Linked DNA regions of Arabidopsis thaliana. The protein of the gene in region 4 binds, or shares a complex with, the protein of the main gene of each other region. Each region holds a gene or a part of one and is shown on either strand. Other genes may lie near its edges.

Region 1 (4,845 bases), on a different chromosome or scaffold from region 4:
TTTATTACGTGTGAGGAGCTGAGAAGCAGAGGAGAATCAAGGTAATCGGAGAAAGTGAAGTTATGAGAAGATTGTGAAATCGGAAGAGGTGGTGGTTGAGCCGTCTTGAACTTAGGTAAACCAGACCCGGTTCTCTCTGGATAGTACCCACCAAAACTCGACCCAGAAACTCTCAAGTCTTCATCATCTTCGTAACAGTCAACGCCGGAAGAACCAAGAAGGTCGGTGAAAGAAGTGGAAGACATGATGGTCTTTAATAAAGGAGACAACTTTAAGATTTCTAAAACAGAGGATTCGCTAAAAAAGGAAACTTTTTTATGAAATTGATCTTGAAATGAAAAAGAGGATAAAACTAAAAAAGAACAGAGGCTTTTAGATTGGGTTAAAGACGACGACGGTGGCGTATTGAGCAAGGTTTTTTTTGTTTCTCTCTCTTCTTGTCTTTTTCTACTTTGGCCTAAATATCATTTTTGATTTTAATATTTCTATAAAATGGTTGACCAGTAAGATATTCTTTTTTGATGAGTCGTCTCCTAATTTGTGATAAATCGTCAAGTGTGAAACCGCGTTTCAAGGGTCTCTTTCAATGATTAAACCAAAACCGGATTAATCCGTTAACCAATAGAACCGTTGGTTGGTTATACACACCAGGTTTGGTTGGTCCAGTACTATCGTCTTAAAGGACAACAAACAAACAAAAACAAGACTCTTATCATTTCTTGGCGAAAGAGATGACCATTGGATTCTGGGGAGTGATTTTGAAACCTTGAAGAGGTTGCATAGCTATGGAAGCTTGAACATCATCTTCGTACTCTACAAACGCGATTCCTGGTTTTGCGTCGATCATTCTTATCTCTTTGAATCCAGGGTACTGTTCGAAGAGAAGCTGTAGCATCATGCTTGTTGTCTCGTGTGGGAGATTCTGAATGAAGAGTATGTTGTTTGGTGGCATTGTTTCTTGCCCGCTCGGCTGGAACGAAGGCTGCATTAAGAAGAGCAGAGATAAAACGCAAAACATCAGCATCATCTCCAGATAACAATAGTTTGGTTCACATGATCCAACAATGGAAGATTTTTCTGAAGATGAAGGTGAGAACAAGAACACTTACCGCAGGGACTCCGTTATTGGCACTTGGACCATTAGCACTTGGGCCATTAGCCGTGTTTGGTCGTTGGGAATCTTCACGCTTTCTTTCAACTGAAAGTAAGAAAGGAAGTTTGTTAACTTTAGATGCAAGTGAAAATTTTATAGTTGTATCATTGAACCAACATCTACGACAAAATGCAAAAAGAAGAAATAAAGTTTAAAACCTTTTTCTTCTTGCTTCCTCTTCTTATCTTTTGGAACGAAAGTTCCCTCAGCTTTAGCTAGACAATCTGACTTTGCTTTTGCATATTGTAAGCGCTGCACTTAAAAGATCACATAAAAAGTATGAATAATAATAAATCTCAACCTGATTGGAAGTAGTTGAATAGTTTACAAACAATCGAAAGAGGTAAGATTTAGTTATAAAAACAATGTATATATCAAACAGAACAAACATTTTGACAACAGAAATCATAAGAGAATGTGATTTGAGAAGGTCAGCAACAAAATCCAAACACACATATAACTAAATGTTGATTGAGAATAACACAGTCAAAGGTAATCATTGGTAATCACATAAACACACTAAGGATTTCTGCTTTTACCGCATCAATCAATCTATACAACACACAGAATATCACTTCCAGGGAAATTATACAGAGATTGATATACTCAAGACAGAAAAGGTAGTGGATACTAATCATTGGTTACTCATCAACAGCAACAAAATCTAAACACATATATGACTACCAATGGATTGGGAATAGAAAAAGGTCAAAGGTTCCAAAACAAATTGTTAGTAATCAATTACACAAACACACTAACGATTTGCTTCTATCGATCTATACAACACATAGAAGATCACTTTCATGGAAACTATAAAGAGATTGATATACTCAAGAGTGATGAAATACTGACCATTGGTTTATCATAGAAGGGAAAATTTTGCATCTGACGAACAGCATGACCAGCAGCAGTGACTTCACTAAAAGTAACCCAAGCTTGTCCTCGGAGCTTCGGAGTCTTCAAAGCAACCACATCAAGTATCCTCCCAAACTGAGAGAACAAACAGTAAAGAGATCTCTTCAATTCTGAGAAAACAAAAACCAAGTCAGATAAAGCATGAGATTGATGATACTGCCCTGAGCCAACACTACTTCACACGTCTATAACAATTATCCATACAATGGCGAAAACAGACAACACCAACATATATATCTTCCTTATAACCTTGTCACTAGATTCAATACGATTCTGAAACCCTAGTATTTAGAAACGAACACTCTATATAAGCTAAAAACAAGCAAAAACCCTAACATTCAGTACTGTAGAAGCTTGAATCATTGGTACAGGAAGTTCATGGAGGTTTCAACATCTAAGAATTTGGAAATTTACTTGACGAATTAGATTAAACGAGAAGAGAAGTTTACCCTCTTTCTTGATCCTTTCGTTGAGGTTTTGGATGTAGATTGATTGATTCGGTGGTATATCTGCCGTTAACATCTTCGAGTGAGCTCGTGAAGACGATGAAGATTCTCGAGACTGAGGAATTTAGAGAGAGCCCTAATGGTGGGAACTGGGAATGAGAGAGACGAAGAAGAGTAAAAGAAATAGCTGCGTTTCAACATCAGACTATTTAACGACGCCGTTTAGTTTGTTGGTTCGATTTCCTAAACTTTTGTACCAACGTGAATGAGCCGACCGGATGGACCGGATTTGAATTTGACCGGCTAGACAGAATTGAACCGGAAATAGAATGAGTGGTCGGGATTGGACTTTTATAGACTCGAGATCAATTTTTTTATTGCAAAATTCCAACAAAAGTCTTGTGAATCATTTTGATTCAAATGTTCAACAACTTTTTAAAATAATGTAAATGATGTTGTATTTTTCCAGCTGAGCTTGCAAATTTGTTCTGAAAAAAGATTTAACCTTAGACCTTAGTATATCTCAATATTCATGTGATAGATAATACAATTCACGTGTGAGCCGATTGAATCAAAAGGCATTAAAAATGCAATGTACTAAAATGCCTTTTTGTTTCTGTGTTACATTTTTCTTTACACTGAGAAAATAAATCGAGGATGTTTCACTTTCATCCTTGAAGAAATATGGCAACCATTGCGACTACTAGTGAATGATCGATGGATCCAGGAAATATCGTTAACCGGAACTTGCTTCTCCCTACGTAAATCTGTCTCAGCTTGTACATCAAACTCGTCTGCCACCACATTTAAAGGAACATAAATCAGATTGAGGCAAATGTTCAAACACAACAACAACAACAAAAATCTTTAAAACAAGTGTATTAGAATCCAAGCAAATTTTACAAGCCTAATGAATCCGACTTCAAATGAACGAAACAAAGGGTTGGTTGTTTATCCATCAGCAAGCATGATCCAAACGATGAGTTTTGAACCCGGTAATCAAAACCAGTATAACACGGTATTGACTCTTGTCTAGCTATAGAATGTTCAATAGTGCTGTAATTGGGAGAAGATGAGTATCTTTACCTGTGCAACAATGGAATCTTGACTATAAATGGTACAAGATTTCTGAAAGGGAACACCTTTGATAACAAGATTTTCGGACGATTCTCCAGCAAAAGAGACCTCTGACTCTGTCTTACTGAATCTTTTCGATGTCCGCTTCACCGTTAGAACCAAATCCTTACGCTTTTCCACATCTCCTTTATGTAATTCCCACACTCCATTCTACATTCCAATACATATACAAAGATCTGTAAGTGTTCTTATGATATATCTCAAGCCAGTGACTAACTAACAAAACCCAAACAATCAAAAAGTATAAACATCGTGTGGACTATGTAATGAATAATGAGATTTAAACAAGTAGCGATGAGAATTGCCAAAATCGATGAAATTTGGGACGAAGGAGGCTTACGTGGAGACGAGAGATGGAGAAGAGAGGAACTCCGGAGGAATCAAGGAGAGATTTCAAGGAGGAAGAAGATTTGCGGAGGATGAAGACGAGATGTTCGGAAGAATCGGCAAATCCGAGATCGCCGGAGGAAAGTCCGGGAAGCTTTTTGGAAGCGAAGAGATCGACTGGTATACGCCGGAGATCCTCAGGGTCGGGGTGATACGGAGTCTCGGAATCAGCCATTTACATAGTCTCTAATAACAGTCAGAAGCGTAAGGTAGAAGAAGAACAAGAGAAGCAGCTTATATTCAACGCCAATGTTTTTTTTTGTTCTAATGATGTCGGATCAGATTTTTTTTTTTGCGGCGAAACATTCTTCTTACACCAAAAAATAATTCAGATGAATAAAATTAAGCAAGTAAATAATTGGATGTAGAAGCCAAAGATAATAAAATAGTAATGATAATTTTCTTTTACGTTCTTGAGATACCAATTCTTGTTTTTTTTTTCACACAAAACTGAAATGCAAAAAAAAAAACTAAAAAGTAATAACACATTTTTTTGATGTTTGATCTTGATTAATAAATTAATAGAAAATGGTAAATGTGTTACTTACATTAGGTTGGAAAAACGTATGGTTTAACATATGTGTTTGTTGGAAAAGATACATTTTTAGTGAACATACCTTTGACATGAATTGATTTATAAAGGTTTTTTTTTTTGCATTTCCATCCCTCTCAAATGTTTGTTTTAAAAAAACTAAGAATTATGTATAATCTTTCAAAATGTATTGATTTTATTTTTTTTTTATGTTTTCTGTAGAATATATATATGATGATCTACTCTGTTCAAAACATCACCCTTACATGCATTTC
Region 2 (5,292 bases), on a different chromosome or scaffold from region 4:
ATCTAATGAATATTTTATCTTCTTCTAATAATAATATTTTTTGCCATGTGGATTATTAGCTTTAAAAGAAAATCTTCCAAATCAGCAATCAAAGAACTTGTCAAACAACTAAATCGCCGTTACCTAGATTTATAAAAATCACCCCTTTGATTGCTGAGTGACCTCGTCCCCGTCACGCCTTTTTTCTTAAAGAATAATTTAAGAAAAAAATAATAATATCTCGTCGTCCTTTTAGGCTTTCTCCGATTGTTCTTAATATTCCTCCAAACTTTCTCTCAATCTCCGTCAAAATAATCACTCTCTCTTTGTTTTTTCTCACAATTCTCCGAACATGCGTTTGCTTTCTTTATTCTCTAATAAACCTAGTAAACTCTTCTTCTTCGTTACTACTATATAATATAGCGGAGAGTTTTGGAACCAGAGAGAGGTTTTACGTTTTTCTTATTTTATTTCTCTCCATGGGGATTCTTTGGGATTCGTTTCTCTTGTTACTTGTGTCAACGTTTGCTCTGTTCTTAGTTAGGATCCTGTTATTCAAAACTGGATTGATTTACATGGTCAAGTTATGGCGTAGGAAGATCATCGACTGGTTTCATGTTTACCAATTCTACAAAGTCCCAGAATTCAACGACAACGTTCAAGAGAATCATCTCTACCAAAAAGTCTACATGTATCTAAATTCCTTAAGCTCGATCGAGAATTCTGATTTCACGAACCTCTTCACCGGGAAAAAGTCCAACGAAATCATCCTCCGGTTAGATCGGAACCAAGTCGTTGGCGACGAGTTTCTCGGCGCTAGAGTTTGTTGGATTAACGGAGAAGACGAAGATGGAGCGAGGAATTTCGTTTTGAAGATTCGTAAAGCTGACAAACGGAGAATTCTCGGTTCTTATCTCCAGCATATACATACAGTATCTGATGAGCTTGAACAGAGGAACACAGAGCTTAAGCTTTTCATCAACGTCGGAATCGATGATCATCTGAATAAGAAGAAGAAGAAGAACGGACGGTGGAGATCGATTCCGTTTGATCATCCTTGTACCTTCGACAACATCGCCATGGAAACGGATCTGAAGAACAAAGTCAAATCTGATCTCGAATCTTTCCTCAAAGGTAAACAGTATTATAATCGTCTGGGCCGTGTTTGGAAACGGAGTTATCTCTTATACGGACCTTCCGGTACCGGAAAATCAAGCTTCGTCGCAGCAATGGCGAATTTCTTAGATTACGATGTTTACGATATAGATCTCTCCAAAGTAGTTGATGATTCAGATCTTAAGATGCTTCTGTTACAAACCAGAGGCAAATCAGTGATCGTGATCGAAGATCTAGATCGACACCTCTCGACGAAATCAACGGCTGTGAATTTATCTGGGATTTTGAATTTCACTGATAGTATTCTCAGCTCTTGCACCGCCGATGAACGGATCATGGTGTTTACGATGACTGGGAAAGAACAAATTGACCCGGCTATGCTTCGACCGGGTCGGGTCGACGTACACATTCATTTTCCCTTATGTGATTTCACGGCGTTTAAAACGCTCGCTAATAACTACTTAGGTGTTAAAGAGCACAAGCTTTTCTCTCAAGTTGAAGGAATATTTCAAAACGGTGCGTCTTTGAGTCCCGCCGAGATCGGAGAGTTGATGATCGCGAATCGTAACTCGCCGACTCGTGCATTGAAGCATGTCATCAATGCTTTGCAGACTGATGGTGATCGGAGAGGAACTGGACGACGTTTGCTTTTAGAAAATGGTTCGAGAAAGTCGACGTCGGAGGATGTTTCTGATGATATGAGTGGTTCGCTTTGCGGCGGTGGCGGAGGAAGTTCGCCGGCGGTGAAGGAGTTTAGGAAGTTGTATGGGTTGTTGAGAATTAAAAGTAGTAGAAAATCTGGATCGTTCGATGTGGCTCGAGAGATGAGGGACGGCTAGTGATTAAAAAGTTTTTAAAAGTCAGCAGCCACGTGGGTTGGTTTTATTGGTTGAGAGAGAGTCTGGACAAAAAGCGTAGACTAGAGAAAGTTGTTACTCTGTTTTTATTGTTTTTGGGTTTTAGTTGATGTACAGAAGTTTATAAGATTTTGCTTTTGAGTCCCCAAAGTATGAGATTCTGAGTTTTGAGCACTTTGTAATTGAACATTTTGGGCCGGTTGTAAAACAAAAGCCCATAGCGTTAAGCGGATTAATAATTTTAACGGAATGACAAATATGCCCTTCATGGTAACAGCGTCAATAACACGCTTTTCGGTTCATCATTATAAGATTTTGTGTCATTAATACGAAGCTCCGTCTTCTTCGCCGAGCGTCGTCGTCGTCTTCTAGGGTTTATCTTTCTCGTCGTCGTCTCTTCAGATTCTTCAAGGTAAATTGAATATCTCCCTCAGAAGATGAAGATTTATCGAATCATCAAAGATACTTTGCGAGCTCTTCGAGTATAAATGTTCTGATCTTTGTTGTCTTTGTTTATGTTGATCACAATTGGTGTTAGGAATTCGATTGCTTTTGCAAGAATGAGACATGTGTACGTTGGGAATTTCGACTATGATACTCGCCATTCGGATCTTGAAAGATTGTTCAGCAAGTTCGGGAGAGTGAAGCGAGTTGATATGAAGTCTGGTAAAACGTTTTCTTGCACTTGTACTCCTTATGGCGATCAATCTGCTGTGTTGTAGTCTCTGTTTGATTCTGGAATTTGAGAGCTTCTCAGGCATTATTGATTGATACTTTTTCTACTGAAGCATGAATTAGTGTTAAGAGTGTGGAGAGAATTCAAAAGGAACCATGACTGGGGTTGTGTTTAAGAGAGGGATTCTCGTATGTAAGTGTTTGTTTGGTCGCAGGAGCTTTCTCTAAAGGAGCATGACTGTGTTTCCTCTTTTCATGGGATTGCCAATTTCTTCCTGCAAATAGATTCCTACATTTTCTCATGCCTACCGTTATGATGTTGTGCCCACAATCTTCGCTGAGCCTACAATCTATTGCCTTGTTTCTTCACGCCTTTCATGTCAGAATGGTGAAGCAAGGCTTAGCAACCATTCAGAATTGAACAGAAATTTGGATTTTATTACCTTTTCATAGGCTACATTCTACAACTGCACATCTACATCTTTATTTACTACTCTACATCGAACGCCTCTACTTCTTATGTACACCAGCCTTCACATTGATGCAGGTGTTGTATATTTATTTAGTTTTTGTCTTTCTCTAGGTGAAAAGGTGTCTTCTAATCGACTAACTCCTGCATTGCAATTTCTGTGGGCTGAAACAGTTTGTCAATGTATATGCTCGCTCTTCTTATCTTGAGTTTTTGTTTTCTTGCAGGTTATGCTTTTGTGTATTTTGAGGATGAGCGCGATGCTGAAGATGCAATCCGTAGGACTGACAATACCACTTTTGGATATGGGCGACGCAAGTTATCAGTTGAATGGGCCAAGGTATCTTTTTCTTCTTTTTAAAAATTAATCTTATGCTCTGATATTTTCAGAGAGCTCTAAGTTTCTTTTGGCTTTCAGGACTTTCAGGGTGAACGTGGGAAGCCTCGTGATGGAAAGGCAGTCTCGAATCAGAGGCCTACAAAGACACTCTTTGTCATCAACTTTGACCCTATTCGCACAAGAGAGCGTGATATGGAGAGACACTTTGAGCCATATGGTAAAGTTCTCAATGTTCGCATGAGGCGCAATTTTGCTTTTGTTCAATTCGCAACCCAGGAAGATGCAACCAAGGCTCTTGATTCTACACACAACAGGTAACAACAAACCTGCTTAGTTAGTACCTATTTATCTGACATGTAGTGATTGATCGAGTGGTAATCCCTTACATTGATTATCCTCTCTTGGCAGCAAATTACTGGATAAGGTTGTTTCTGTTGAGTATGCCTTGAGGGAGGCTGGTGAAAGAGAAGATAGATATGCTGGCAGTCGAAGAAGGAGATCTCCTAGCCCAGTGTATCGGAGGCGTCCTAGTCCTGATTATACCCGTCGTCGCAGTCCTGAATATGACAGGTACAAGGGTCCTGCTCCTTATGAAAGACGTAAGAGTCCAGATTATGGGCGTCGCAGTTCAGACTATGGTAGAGCAAGAGCTAGGAGTCCGGGCTATGACAGAAGGTAACAGTACTTGGCTTCTGAATGGTCAATATCCTTATATATAGTGTTATGTGCTACTCTAATTGTCTGATTTTTCTTTTCTATTTTTTAACAGCCGGTCCCCGATTCAAAGAGCAAGAGGTTGAAGATGTTGTTGGGCGATGGATTTTTAGAATGTATGGGCATGGTACAAAAACAAGTTCTTAGTACTGAGTCTTTACCGCTTATGACTTGAACCGTATGTGCTTTGCACTCTATGTGGTGTAGAAAGTATTAGTAGCTTATAATGGCAATGATCTCTTTTGGAATTGGAATAGTTTCAAGGCAATCCATTCAGTTTTTCAGGATCAAGAAATCATTACTTCATTTTATATTCAGAAACATTTATAGGTTTTGTAGAAGTAAAAAGAGAATACACAAGAAAGGAGGACGATCATTCAAGGCATAGAAGAGAGATTGTGATTACATAGTTCTTGGGTGAGTGCTTTCTCCAACCAAGTTTCGGCGTCTTCCATCATCTCAGGGCTTAACCGAACCATGAGAACGCAGAATTCGGTTTGGTTAAGAGCACCATCTCCATCGAGGTCTCCTTCTCTAACCATTCCTTGAGCATCTTCCTTGCTCATACCTTCAATTCCAAGTATCCCTGAGTTTCGTCTTAGAGACTCAGCTGTGATGAGATGTCTCTCTGGATCCGCAAGCAAACTGAAACCTTTGCATAACTCTGATACAAACTCTTCAACATCCATCTTCTCCGCCATAACTGGTAACATATCTTCGTATTTGGTCTCCATCTTCGTGGTACTAGTAGTTTCTAGTAACATAGATTTCTCGGTTGGTTCCATTAGAGGAAGACAATGGAAGAGAGAGAAGAGATTTTGGTGAACTCTTTTGATTAGTTCCAAAGGGATATATAAGTGAGTGGCGTATCTGTACCGATGTGTTTGTCACGTTCGTGTGGCCTAAAACTCTCTCTTGAATCGCAGCCGTTGGATTCTGAAAGTTGAAATAATGAACGGCTGATATTCATTCCAAGATAAAATGCGATTTCGTGAGTAGGGAGGGAAGCAGCTGATTATTAGGTGGTTTCGTGGAAAGTTCGAATGGGCCGTGAATACGACGCATTCCCACTCCCATATATTGTTATCAAAAGAAAGACAAGACAATGGTAAGTTTCGGAGAAGTTTCGTTTCTTGATTTCT
Region 3 (4,408 bases), on a different chromosome or scaffold from region 4:
AGTGAACAAACTCATGAAGTTGGATATCTGTAAATTATTTTTCATAAAAAATAAGTATTTTCAGGACACAACAAAACAGGACAAAGATAAGAAACTTATGAAAATCTACTCCTTTTACTAGGGTTTTAAACCAAAGCATCATCAGAAGAGGAGGCAGCCAAAAAGCCTTCAATAAAGACAGAATGATCCTTGAATCAAACATGATGAAATTGAAACCAATGAGCAGAAAAATCTCTCGTTTAAAGATTAGTCCATGTACCAAACGTGATGAAACCAAAGGAATGACTATTGCAGATGGCGATAAGTGTTTATCCAAGTGCCCACCTCAAACAAAGCAGAGACGTTCTACATACTCTAAACTATTCTACACCGTAAGACAAGTTTCTTCGAAGCCTGCCTGAAAGGTATTAAATACCTGCCAGAGTAGCAAGTGCAACTCCTCGGCCATTTTAAGTTCAAGAAAAGCAAGACCAGCAATCATCAGAGCCGATGAAGTTTTCAAACATAAGAGCATCTAGATGAGAAGCAGAGTAGATGTGAACTAACATAAAGATCCCAAAGCAGGCCGATCAAAATAACCAAGAAGCCAGAAGCAGTTAAGCAATGAAGCAGAAGTAGTGGTAAACAATTATGAAGATCCCAAAGTAGGCAGATCAAAATAACGAAGAAGCGAGAAGCAGATAAGCAATGAAGCAGAAGTTGTGGTAAACTACTATGAAGATCCCATAGCAGGCCGACCAAATTAACCAAGAAGCCAAAAGCAGATAAGCAATGAAGCAGTAGAAACCTGAAGAAACCTCGAGATGATAGAACAAAAAACAAAGAAAATGCATAGGTTTTTAGCAGAGCTTTTGTTTATGTCTTTTAAGAACATGGGTAGATATTTAAAAGTACTTTACCTAACGGCAGATACAACTATGGCTTCATAATCCAAACGCAATAAGAAGCTTTCCAGCAATTCAAAAGTAGCAAGCATATCCAATCCACCACACAGCTAAAACATATTCTCTTAGTGAAATTCACAGATACTAATTTCCTCTCCTCTTGACGTCACAAGCAAATAGTTGTCTCCTGATCCCATAATTTGCTATCTAGACAAGTAACACTCAGCTCCGGCTTCTGCGCACATCTTTCAGACCATTTCTGCATAAACAAATACAAAAACTTATCAGCCACATGGACTCTGTTTTTTAACACAACGTCTAACAAAAAAGTCTTTGGGACGATAATGCCACTAGTTCAGTTTCAATTTCTTATATTGATTGAGATACAGTAGACTCAAGAGCAAGGGGAGTTTTACCCATTAGCATATGGCACCTCGTCACGTGCTCTATAAGGTGGTGGTGACCTACTGTAGTTGCGACCACGAGGAGAAGGACTACGACGTCTTGGAGGAGGAGGAGATCTAGCACGAGGGCTGTAACTTCTGTGAAACCAAAAGACAAGGTAATAAATCAATGAGGTAGACCAATTTCTTTTAGTTGCAAATCGTCAATCAGAAAGAATAGGGACAATAACCTTCGTCCTCCATAGGTAGGACTCTTTCTGTATCTAGGAGGACTGCGACTACGGCTGCGGCTACGACGCCTACCACCAGAACCACCACGAGAACGACATTCACGTGCAAAGTGACCAGACTCACCACACTCATAGCACTTCAAATCAGAACCACCACGTCCACGACCACCATCACCTCCTCCACGACCACCACCACGACCTCCACCACCACCACGGTTATGAGACTGCTCTACCCTCCATCCATTCTTGCCTACCATAACAATATAGATCATATATATATCAAACTCATAACAACTCATAACAACTCATAAAACCAGACCAGTAGAATAGAAGACCAACGAATACCATCTACTTCACGGATGGCGTCACGGGCATCTCTTGAATCTTCAAAATCAAGAAAAGCGTAACCAGGAGGTCTTCTAGCAACCCAGACACTGCACAGACACCAAAAGAACAATGAGGATAAATGCAAATTCACACACTTTACATCAACTAAAAACCAAAAAGGAGTCAATTTATGTACCTCCTGATCACACCAAAGGAACGAAACTCATCCTCGAGTTCACGTTCAGTAACTCGCGGATCCAAATTACCAACATACACACGCGACATCCTCAAGTTACCTATCAACAAAAGGCTTCAATTCAAAAACTTTGAAAGCGATGAATTCAAAAAGATGAAATCTATAGATCGAAACTACGAATGAATCTGGAGTAAAGAAGTGACAACGGAGATCGGGATTTACCTGAAGAAACGGCTTTGGCTCTTTCTCTTGCTCGTCTGTGAGAAATTAGGGTTATCGATTCGAAATTGAAGATGAAAGTTATTTTTTGTGGGTCAACTTTAAATGTCCTTCAAAAGTTATTCCTTGATTTGGGCTTAAAATGGGCCGCATGCGATATGGTACAGTAACAATAATGCCTCATATTCATGCAATTACTGATTATAAAATTAAAATGTCAGATGTTAAATAATAATAATTCAAAATTAAAAAAAAGCTCTCAGCATATAAAAGGAATTCAAAAAAAAAATGAGTATCACTCTTAAGTATTTATACGATTTTCAAAAAAAGTTGATAAAACTTACCGAAAATACAAAAAAAAAAGAAATTGAAATCTACATAAATCCCCAAAAACTACAACACAACACAAGGAGAAAACACTAAGAAAACACAAGCGAAAACTTCACAAGTAGAGATCCTGAGAAAAACACTGTTTCTAAACCCCAAATTGAAATCTCGTCGTAAATTCAAATTTTAATTAAAAAATATAAAGAAAGCTCTTTTCTATGTCCACTGAATATTTTATGTAAATGAAGAAAGCTCTTTTTATGCTCATACTTTTATGTATATACTAACCCATACATCTCAGATGATGAGGATGAGAGAGGAAAATAAAACTTAAGAGGGAGACTATTTGACCCAAAAAAAAAAAAAAAAAAAAAGAGAGAGACTATTACCTCTAGTTTTTGAACTAAGTGAAGAAAACTATTTCGTTCAAATTTTTATTTATAATAATAATTCACTCATTAAGCATCACAAATTAGACAATAGATGCATCAGCCTATTTGTAGGCCTAACCAATCCTCTACTTTATTCATCGGAATCGATCACTAGATATATAGTCGATAGGCAAACAAAGATATAACCATAAAAACCAATTTTGACACTATTATTTATTTGCGTAATGCTAGTAGGTGTGTACAAATGAACATAATTATGACCATGACAACGGCATGGTAACCACTCATGCCTCGAAGTTCACCTTCTGCTACCAACATATTTCCATCACATCATCCTAGCATTATTAAAGAGGCTAAGATACAACCTTTTAGCTCTTCTAATGCTAATAATCCTAGCATCATCCTAGCATTATTAACTGAGTGCATCTTTAGCTCTTCTAATGCTTTTTCTAGAGAAGAAATGGTTTGAATCACCCTTATTTTACTAATAACATATTTGGGTTTAAGATGAGTTTCTAACTTAAAACCAATTGGCAATGAAACTAATCATTTATAAGTATATTACTTGATAATTTTTCTAATTTTCGAGTGTAACTTTCTCTCATTAACAACTAACCATTCGATTATTTTAAGAACTTTGGTTTTGATACGGTTCAGTTTGGTCAGTTATTAAAATTATTGGGTTTTTTTGCCCATGCCTATATCTCCCAAAATCACAATATTCAAATAAAAACTTTTACCACTTGAACCATGGTTCTAGTTTAGAATGGTTTGTTTGGAAAAGACAATAGAGGCTAAATCGTAATTTTGTGCTTTATCACTTATGAGTTTCACTTTTAAATCAGTCACTTAACAAAAACCGGACGTGACAATATATTATGTCCAGATATTAATTTGGGATTAGCCTATAACATCCAATCATTCCCAAGAGCAATGATATAATTTTGTAGTTTTTTATTTACTATTTAGTGCGCACCTTTCTTGAACCAAGACTCCATTCAGTGACAGGATTAGATAAGTATGTGTGTATTATTGAAATGTCGTCGAGAGTCCACTTGAAGTTTGAACTATGACGACAAGAATTATTCCTTTTCTCTTCTTTCTATTCAGATGGAGAGAAGCTCACCTCAAGATTTTTAAAACGGCACTCAATTACGACTTATTTTGAGAAATAATTAATAAAATTTATAAATTATTACGTGCTCTATTTTATAATTTTTCTCTTTTTTATAGGTTTTAAGACATGAAACACTGCTTCTATGTTTTTTTTTTGGTAATCAACACTGCTTCTATGTTTGGTGAAGACATCTTGCAAATGACATTACATAAATCATAGAAATTAGTTTCGATGTTATTCTAATTAAATCCTAAAATATGGACAAAAAAGAGTGATTCTATTGTTCAAAAAGAAAAAGAAGAGTGATTCTAA
Region 4 (6,740 bases):
CGAGCTCACCTTTCTTATACAATGAACTCAAAATGGTGGTGAAAGCAATGGTAGTAACTTCCATGCCTTTACCTTGCATCTGTCTCATAATCTCAATGGCTTTTTCAGGGGTACCAGAGTCACAGTATGACTTAATCAATATACCGTAAGAGATTTTGTCAGGGATGATCTTATTGTACCTCTGAGGAATTTCGTCGAACAGTTGGGGGACTTTATCGAAATTCTTGGAATGGAGACAAGCGTTGAGCAAGGCGTTGAAGGAAACAGCTGATCTGGGTGTGCCGTATTGATCCATCTGCTCGAAGGTTCTCATGGCGTGATTAAACATAGAGGCTTGGCCGTAAGATCTGATAAGCGTAGAGTAGAAAGGTTCTTCTTTGATTTTGGGATCATTTTTGTGGGATTCAATTAGGGTTTCGATGTCTGAGAAACGGCGACACTTGGCGAGGCGACGAACAGTGAGCTCTTGGGCGTAGCGAGATGAAACAGGAGAGGCTGAGTGATCGGAGACATTGGCGTAGATCTTAAGAGCTTTGTCGGGATCGTGTTCTTTCCGGAGAGTGGACTTAGCTTTGGAGACAGAGATTTTGCCTGAAGAGGGAGCGGTGGTCGTACCGTCAGCGGCGGCTGAGGCAAATCGGCGAACAAGGCGGAGAGAAATACGAGAAGAAGCCATTTTGCAGAAATGGGTATTGTGGAGAGTGGTGGCGAGAAAAGGAGACGCCTTTAGGGTTTTAGTGGCTTAACAGAGATTTTTGGGTTTTACAAGTTTGCTTCTTTTTCTTTCTTTTTTCTTCTATCAGAAGAGAACCAAACTACTTGAATATTTCAATAGAGAGAGTACTCAACTTCTTGTGTTGATTTAGAACATATGTCACATTTACGAGAGACGAATGATGTTTTACGAGGGACTCATGATGTTATTCTGTGAATAATTTTTGAGATAAATATTTAAGAAATAGACCAAAGATATGAGATAAAAACGTTATAATAAGCAACGTGTCGATAATCTCATACTCTTACAATCACGCAAAAGGGTCTTGAAACTGAAGCAAAGTACTTAACTTTTAAGTAATAGAAAGCAAACAAAGAAGTGATCAGGCTCCATAATCACCCTGTTCAAACTTGTCTTCAGGGTAATACACTGCAACGACTTCATTTCCTCCAAATTTCCTACCATTCATCCCGAATCTTGCCCTAGTCGAGCCATCTGTATCGGCATACTTCAAAAACACCTGCACATTAAATATATCAGACAGTCAGATTACGACTAAATAGAAATATACAAGAAGTAGAGAGAAAGAGAGAGAGATAAGTTTACCTTGCCAAGGCCTGCCACTGGCTCACCATTGGGGCTTGGACGCGGAATCACAACATTGGTCAAAGCACCTGCATTTTAAGAGTTAAAGAACAAAACATTTCGAATACAAGACAAGAAAACACAGACAAAAACAAGTCAGTTTTTTCTTTTAAGAAATAGTGGCCATTGGTGATAAATAGATTAGGAGGTTTATGCAGTCTCCTGTCTGTGTATGTTAGGGCTGATTCTTTATAGCAAAAGGCTGTAAAACAGCACAACCAAGAAAACAGAGAGACAGATCAATATGCTTTTAATCTTATATTTCAAAATAGACCATATTGCGCAATTAAGAGGTCTCTTACCAAACTTTCCGCCTTCCTGTCTCATGTCTTCCATTATATCTCCATACTCCTCATCATCTCTAAGCTCATCCTCAGTAACAACTTGAGTCAGACACACCACAGTGGTTGCCACTGCACCAGGCTGTAACATAACCCTCTGCAAAAGATAAAACCATCAATCAGTCTTTTAATCTTATAAATGGAAATATTCAAGTTAGGTCTCAACACGTTTTGCAAGCTCATTTTGTTTTCTTCCAATATTATTAAGAAGAAAAAAAATTACCTGAAAAGCTATTTGCTGCTGTGCATGCAATAATACGTTCTCTTGTTCAGGCTTTTGTAGCATTGTTCCCTGGTTGGCACGTCTCACTGTAAGAGTCTTATCTCCCATCTTGATACCATTTAGGGCAGCGCACGCGATATCTGTAACAGAAAGATCTTGGTACACACAAAAGGCATATCCTTTAGAGTTCCCTGTTTCTCGATCTTTTACAAGATCAAAGCCCTTGAGGCCTCCAAAGGACTCCAACAACTCCCTCACTTGTGATTCCGTGAAGTAATATGGAAGTCCACCAACAAAAATACGATCTGGTCCCTCAAGCCCACCAGAAGCACCTGGAGTCAGACCAACAGCAGCTAAGTTTAGATGGGGACTGGGCTGGCTTGGACCAAGAGTCGCAGCTAGAGATGGGTTATAGTCACTAGGTCTCCTCACCTTCACCGGAGCTCCCTGGAAAAGAAAAAAAGAAAAAGAAAGATAAGCATTCAGTTGGGTAACCTATATACCAAAGAAATGCCAGTACTAAAACTCAACCAAATATTTGGTAGTGCGGTAAACATTAAAACATACCTCAAATATAATCCCATCCAAAGACATAGCGTTACTTGCCTCTTCAACAGATCGCATCTCCACAAAAGCAAACTTCTTCTCGTGGTTTATGTAGACATTAACAACTGCATCACCTGCGAGTAAGAAAAAAGATTTATAAAAAAAGATTAATCCAAGTATCATAATAGACACTCTAGCATCTGCACCAGGATTATGTACCTGGACCAGCAGTGTTTCCACCAACAGCAGCCATAACTTGACTAAAAAATGTAGCCACAGACTGCAAATACAAAATAATAAATCAATGTTAGTATCATTATTTGCTGAAACATATTTCAGTGGGAGAAAATGAAAAAAGAAAGTGGATAATAACCTGTTCATTTGCCGTAGGGGAAAGCCCACCGACATAGACTCTGCGAGCATGTCTAGTTGCCTGAAGACACAAAGTAAATAAGGATTAAATTAGAACAGAGAAATACATAGTATCTTGCGTATATCCATGATAAATAAAATCTAACCTGCTGTGTCATAGCCTGAATTGGCATCATAGAGAGTCCCCCAAATGACTGTAGGACATAGACGACTTAGTTCAAGAAAGACATCAATTAAGAAAATATTAAAAGGGAAAGACCACAGACCTGTCCAGTCGGCAATGGAAACATGTTGGGAAACATTCCAGCCCCAGGAAGAGTTGGTGGAGCGGGAGGAACTTGGCCTACAAAAGAAAAACAGGTTAATACATAAGAAAATTACATATGAGAAAACCTAGTTTACCATCCCTGGAAATGTATTGGTGACATCAAGAGGTTTAAGTCTGCATGGAAAATTTTTGCAAGACTAACAAAACCAGTGATATGTACTGAGGATGAGCAATACCCATACGCAGTAATTCTTCCTTGTATATAAGAGCTAACCAGCCCACACCCAGTGTTGCCTTACCAAAACAGAAAAGCAAACAAGAGACACAAAGACCACCAAACAACCAAAAGCTCTCAGTTCTAGCGTTATGTCCCAAGTAAAAAAAGAAAGAAAACAGCCTATGTTTTTGTAGTTATTCAGGAGAAACAGATTTTATCAATCCCAGTACGTGTATTAGGTATGAATTCTACATTATGCTAATGAGAAGGTGCTAAATTAAAGAGATATACCTGTAACAGCAGCACCAGCAGCTAACATTGCAGAGGCTGGAGGTGCCATATCGAATCCACTGACTCGCTGCTTACTGCAACAACATATATTGAGTGAGGTTAGAAACTTTCTTAGATTGAAGCAATTACTTCATAGAAGAGTAAGTAATCCAATGAGAAAAAAATGCTACCTTTTCGATGGAGATCGTGACCTTGTTCTGCGCTCAGATCTATCCTTTGAACGAGATCGAGATCGACGACTGCGTCTTCCTCCTCTATCATCTCTCCGCCTAGAAGAATAAAAAATAAGCCAAATCAGTACCTTCCATAAAATCAAAAAGGATTCAATCTAAATTGAAAATGTATAATTCAATTCAAGAACAGTCTACCTATCATGGTCACGATCACGGCTTCGACGGTAATCATCATCATCCCTACCACCACGTTCTCTTCTTTCACCACGCTCCCTGCTATGATCCCTGTGACGACTACTTCTGTGATGACGCTCACGATGATCTCTGTCTTTGTCTCTACTCCTCTCCTTGCTTTTCTCTCCATCTCTATCCCTGCTTCGGCGAGAGACTTCAGAGTCTCTTTCTCTGTCCTTATCACGACCCTTCTCTCTTTCTCTATCTTTACTTCTTGATGTCTCTCTTTCATGGTCACGCGATTCTCTCTGCACATGTAAACACACCCAAAACCTCATCAATTACAGTTTAAGAATCAATGAAACAGAAGCAGCTTTAAAACTAATCATCTCATAATTCGATTCTCAATTCAATCCAATTGCTAGGAAATATAGATTCGAAACTCCAACTATAAGCTAGGAGATTGAAGATAATCAGGGGGGAAATTACCTTGGGTTTCGAGTCCAATTGATCCTCGATTTCGCCGTCGCGGCCACCATTCTCTTCGTCGTAAATCGCGTCAGCAACCGTACCGTTTCCCTCGTGATCTTCGAATTCAGACATCTTTTCGCCGGAATCAACGCTCTCTATCTCTTTCTCACCGGAGATAAATTTAGAATCTGTTTCAGCCGTCGAGATTCGAAGAAAGGGGTGGATGCAGAAACCAAACTATTTTAGGGCAATTACGGATTATTCTATTTTTTTATAGCCAACACGGGACCTCCTGTGAGGGTATTTTTGTAAATGTCATATAAAAACAGGCCGGTCCAAATCTGATAAGGCCCATTATTCAGCGCATCCGGTCCAATAGTTGGCCCAATTCGTGTTTGGGATAAATCTACTTTTTGAGAGTTTTATGAATTTGCCTTTTCAAGATATGGCCCAATCTGTGTTTGAGATAAATTTGCCTTTTATTCCAATATCTCTTGCAACAACAAGAGAACAGAGCATGGGAAGTTGATTGCATTATCTACGACTCCTCCGTTATCACCATTCAAAACTTTAATATGCCGAAGCTATAGCAAGAGGGTTACAAATACATTATACAATTGTAAACCAAATGACATAAGTTAGCAAGTACGACTACTACTACAAGTGTATAATAAACCACAGAGTTATCAATAACAAGAAGTAACGTCGTCACTCAACAGTCTCTCGGAAATATTTACTTATTTCTCATTTACCATCTACAAAGATTTAAACAAAACAAAACATTATACAAACACAATACAACTTTAAACATGGCAACAACAAAAACAATGCAAAAGTACATTAACAAATAAACAAGACTATGGAAAAAAAAAGTTACAAGAGAGGTCAGAACCAAAGTTCTAACCACTAACAACAAACCAAACACACTCTTGACGTACGTTGGCCTTCTCTTTTACTCCTCCGGCTTAACTCTCCTCTTCACCTTCCATTTCCCATTCTTTCTCCATCGGTAGTTGCCGTTCCCTAAGTTCTTCTTCTTGTGGTGGTTGTTGAGGTGGCCACCGCTTCTTCTCTTCTTCTTCTTCACGTTTCCTCCTCTCTTCCTCTTCTCTCTTCGCCTCTTCTTCTTCTTTCTTCCTTTCATCATGTCTCCTCTTCCTCTCATCATCTATTTTCTTCCTCTCTATCTCCACCTTAAGCTTCTCTATCTCTCCTTCCGCACAAGAATGACATTCCAAGATAACAGCTTCCTTCTGAGCTCCCAACAATCCATCAATCGTCACACTACTCACATTAAGCGATGCAGCCAATACTTGCCGGTCAAGCATCCGCAAAGCCGAGTCCTCCCCGGCTAAGAACTGCGGCTCGTTATTCTTAGCTGAAGTAGTAAACCCAACGAACACTAACGAGTCATTGTTGAAAGACATTTGAGCCATTGGATGTAACCGTGGAACTGCGAAAATATCTCCTTCCTCTACTTTAAACCTCACGTTCTTACACTCTGATGATGTGTTTGATGATATCGAAGACCTAAGAACCCTAACCATTCCTGCTCCTTTCAATACAATCGAAATCTCGCAAGCCCATGGATTCCAGTGCGGTCCCATCATCGATCCTTGAGTGAGATTCACCATGGAAACTCCAACCATTGAGCCTTTTAAAACTTTCAGATCCTTCCTGTTAATCGTTATAGTACGACCGTAGGGGCTCTCGAAATCCGGTTCAGATTCGAAAACATTGAATGTCTTCGCTTTCTTCACCTTCTCCTTCTTCTCTTTCTTCTCTTTCTTCTTCTTGTTATCCACCAAGTCTGCACTTCCAGCAAAGAGCTTTAGTAATCGCGGTTGGAGCTGCCAAGTGTTGGCCACACCTGGTGTGCAAAGCGTCTCACTCACGATCAATGGTGGCTTCGTACGGTTCCTCATCAGCTCTATAATCCCCTCAGGAACCTAATTAAAACCATTGAATTTAATATATCACTTAATACAACCCAAAATATCCTCTACTAGAGTAAGTTGGGAAGTAAGATATACACAATTCCTATCTTGCTTCCCAAGTAAGATATAGACAATTCGTAACTTATTCATCGGCAGATTAAGACATACCCCAAAAGCTGACTGGAGAATTGTCTCATCAAAACCAAACATTAGATCTGTGATACTCGAATAGGCACCAAAGCAAGGATCCTGCATCCATGGAATACAGATACAATAAGAAGAAGAAAAAGATGTCAAGAAAGTGAAAAAAGAAAGAATCATATCAAACTTATACATGTAAACACTCATCGTTGTTGGAGAAGATTGC

The links.
Region 1: ATU2AF65A (region 4) and U2B'' share a complex: the UniProt entries of both Arabidopsis thaliana proteins name them as parts of the spliceosome.
Region 2: ATU2AF65A (region 4) and RS31a share a complex: the UniProt entries of both Arabidopsis thaliana proteins name them as parts of the spliceosome.
Region 3: ATU2AF65A (region 4) and RSZ22a share a complex: the UniProt entries of both Arabidopsis thaliana proteins name them as parts of the spliceosome.

What each region holds. Positions count from the first base shown.
Region 1 is NC_003071.7:12,904,845-12,909,689, forward strand, and holds U2B'' (U2 small nuclear ribonucleoprotein B), read right to left. Parts: upstream 2,822-4,845; 5' UTR 2,591-2,821; coding exon 2,518-2,590; intron 2,179-2,517; coding exon 2,006-2,178; intron 1,406-2,005; coding exon 1,312-1,405; intron 1,199-1,311; coding exon 1,110-1,198; coding exon of another isoform or gene 1,050-1,109; exon of another isoform or gene 983-1,049; coding exon 713-982; 3' UTR 501-712; downstream 1-500. Other genes in the region: WRKY25 (WRKY DNA-binding protein 25), read right to left, coding at 9-245; AT2G30270 (LURP-one-like protein (DUF567)), read right to left, coding at 3,183-3,308, 3,601-3,801, 3,992-4,213. UniProt on the Arabidopsis thaliana protein: Involved in nuclear pre-mRNA splicing.
Region 2 is NC_003071.7:19,135,713-19,141,004, reverse strand, and holds RS31a (RNA-binding (RRM/RBD/RNP motifs) family protein), read left to right. Parts: upstream 1-2,242; 5' UTR 2,243-2,364; intron 2,365-2,490; 5' UTR 2,491-2,512; coding exon 2,513-2,618; exon of another isoform or gene 2,619-3,146; coding exon of another isoform or gene 3,147-3,174; exon of another isoform or gene 3,175-3,277; coding exon of another isoform or gene 3,278-3,323; coding exon 3,324-3,436; intron 3,437-3,514; coding exon 3,515-3,750; intron 3,751-3,844; coding exon 3,845-4,111; intron 4,112-4,205; coding exon 4,206-4,236; 3' UTR 4,237-4,439; downstream 4,440-5,292. Other genes in the region: AT2G46620 (P-loop containing nucleoside triphosphate hydrolases superfamily protein), read left to right, coding at 459-1,934; AT2G46600 (Calcium-binding EF-hand family protein), read right to left, coding at 4,528-4,935. UniProt on the Arabidopsis thaliana protein: Probably involved in intron recognition and spliceosome assembly.
Region 3 is NC_003071.7:10,447,559-10,451,966, reverse strand, and holds RSZ22a (RNA recognition motif and CCHC-type zinc finger domains containing protein), read right to left. Parts: upstream 2,337-4,408; 5' UTR 2,264-2,336; intron 2,142-2,263; 5' UTR 2,131-2,141; coding exon 2,042-2,130; intron 1,953-2,041; coding exon 1,864-1,952; intron 1,769-1,863; coding exon 1,519-1,768; intron 1,427-1,518; coding exon 1,301-1,426; intron 1,144-1,300; coding exon 1,107-1,143; 3' UTR 783-1,106; downstream 1-782. UniProt on the Arabidopsis thaliana protein: Probably involved in intron recognition and spliceosome assembly.
Region 4 is NC_003075.7:17,293,042-17,299,781, forward strand, and holds ATU2AF65A (U2 snRNP auxilliary factor, large subunit, splicing factor), read right to left. Parts: upstream 4,688-6,740; 5' UTR 4,569-4,687; coding exon 4,455-4,568; intron 4,274-4,454; coding exon 3,987-4,273; intron 3,888-3,986; coding exon 3,789-3,887; intron 3,693-3,788; coding exon 3,619-3,692; intron 3,186-3,618; coding exon 3,109-3,185; intron 3,037-3,108; coding exon 2,989-3,036; intron 2,904-2,988; coding exon 2,844-2,903; intron 2,751-2,843; coding exon 2,690-2,750; intron 2,605-2,689; coding exon 2,492-2,604; intron 2,372-2,491; coding exon 1,925-2,371; intron 1,799-1,924; coding exon 1,663-1,798; coding exon of another isoform or gene 1,390-1,662; coding exon 1,322-1,389; intron 1,236-1,321; coding exon 1,098-1,235; 3' UTR 906-1,097; downstream 1-905. Other genes in the region: AT4G36680 (Tetratricopeptide repeat (TPR)-like superfamily protein), read right to left, coding at 1-676; AT4G36700 (RmlC-like cupins superfamily protein), read right to left, coding at 5,402-6,385, 6,542-6,622, 6,708-6,740. UniProt on the Arabidopsis thaliana protein: Necessary for the splicing of pre-mRNA.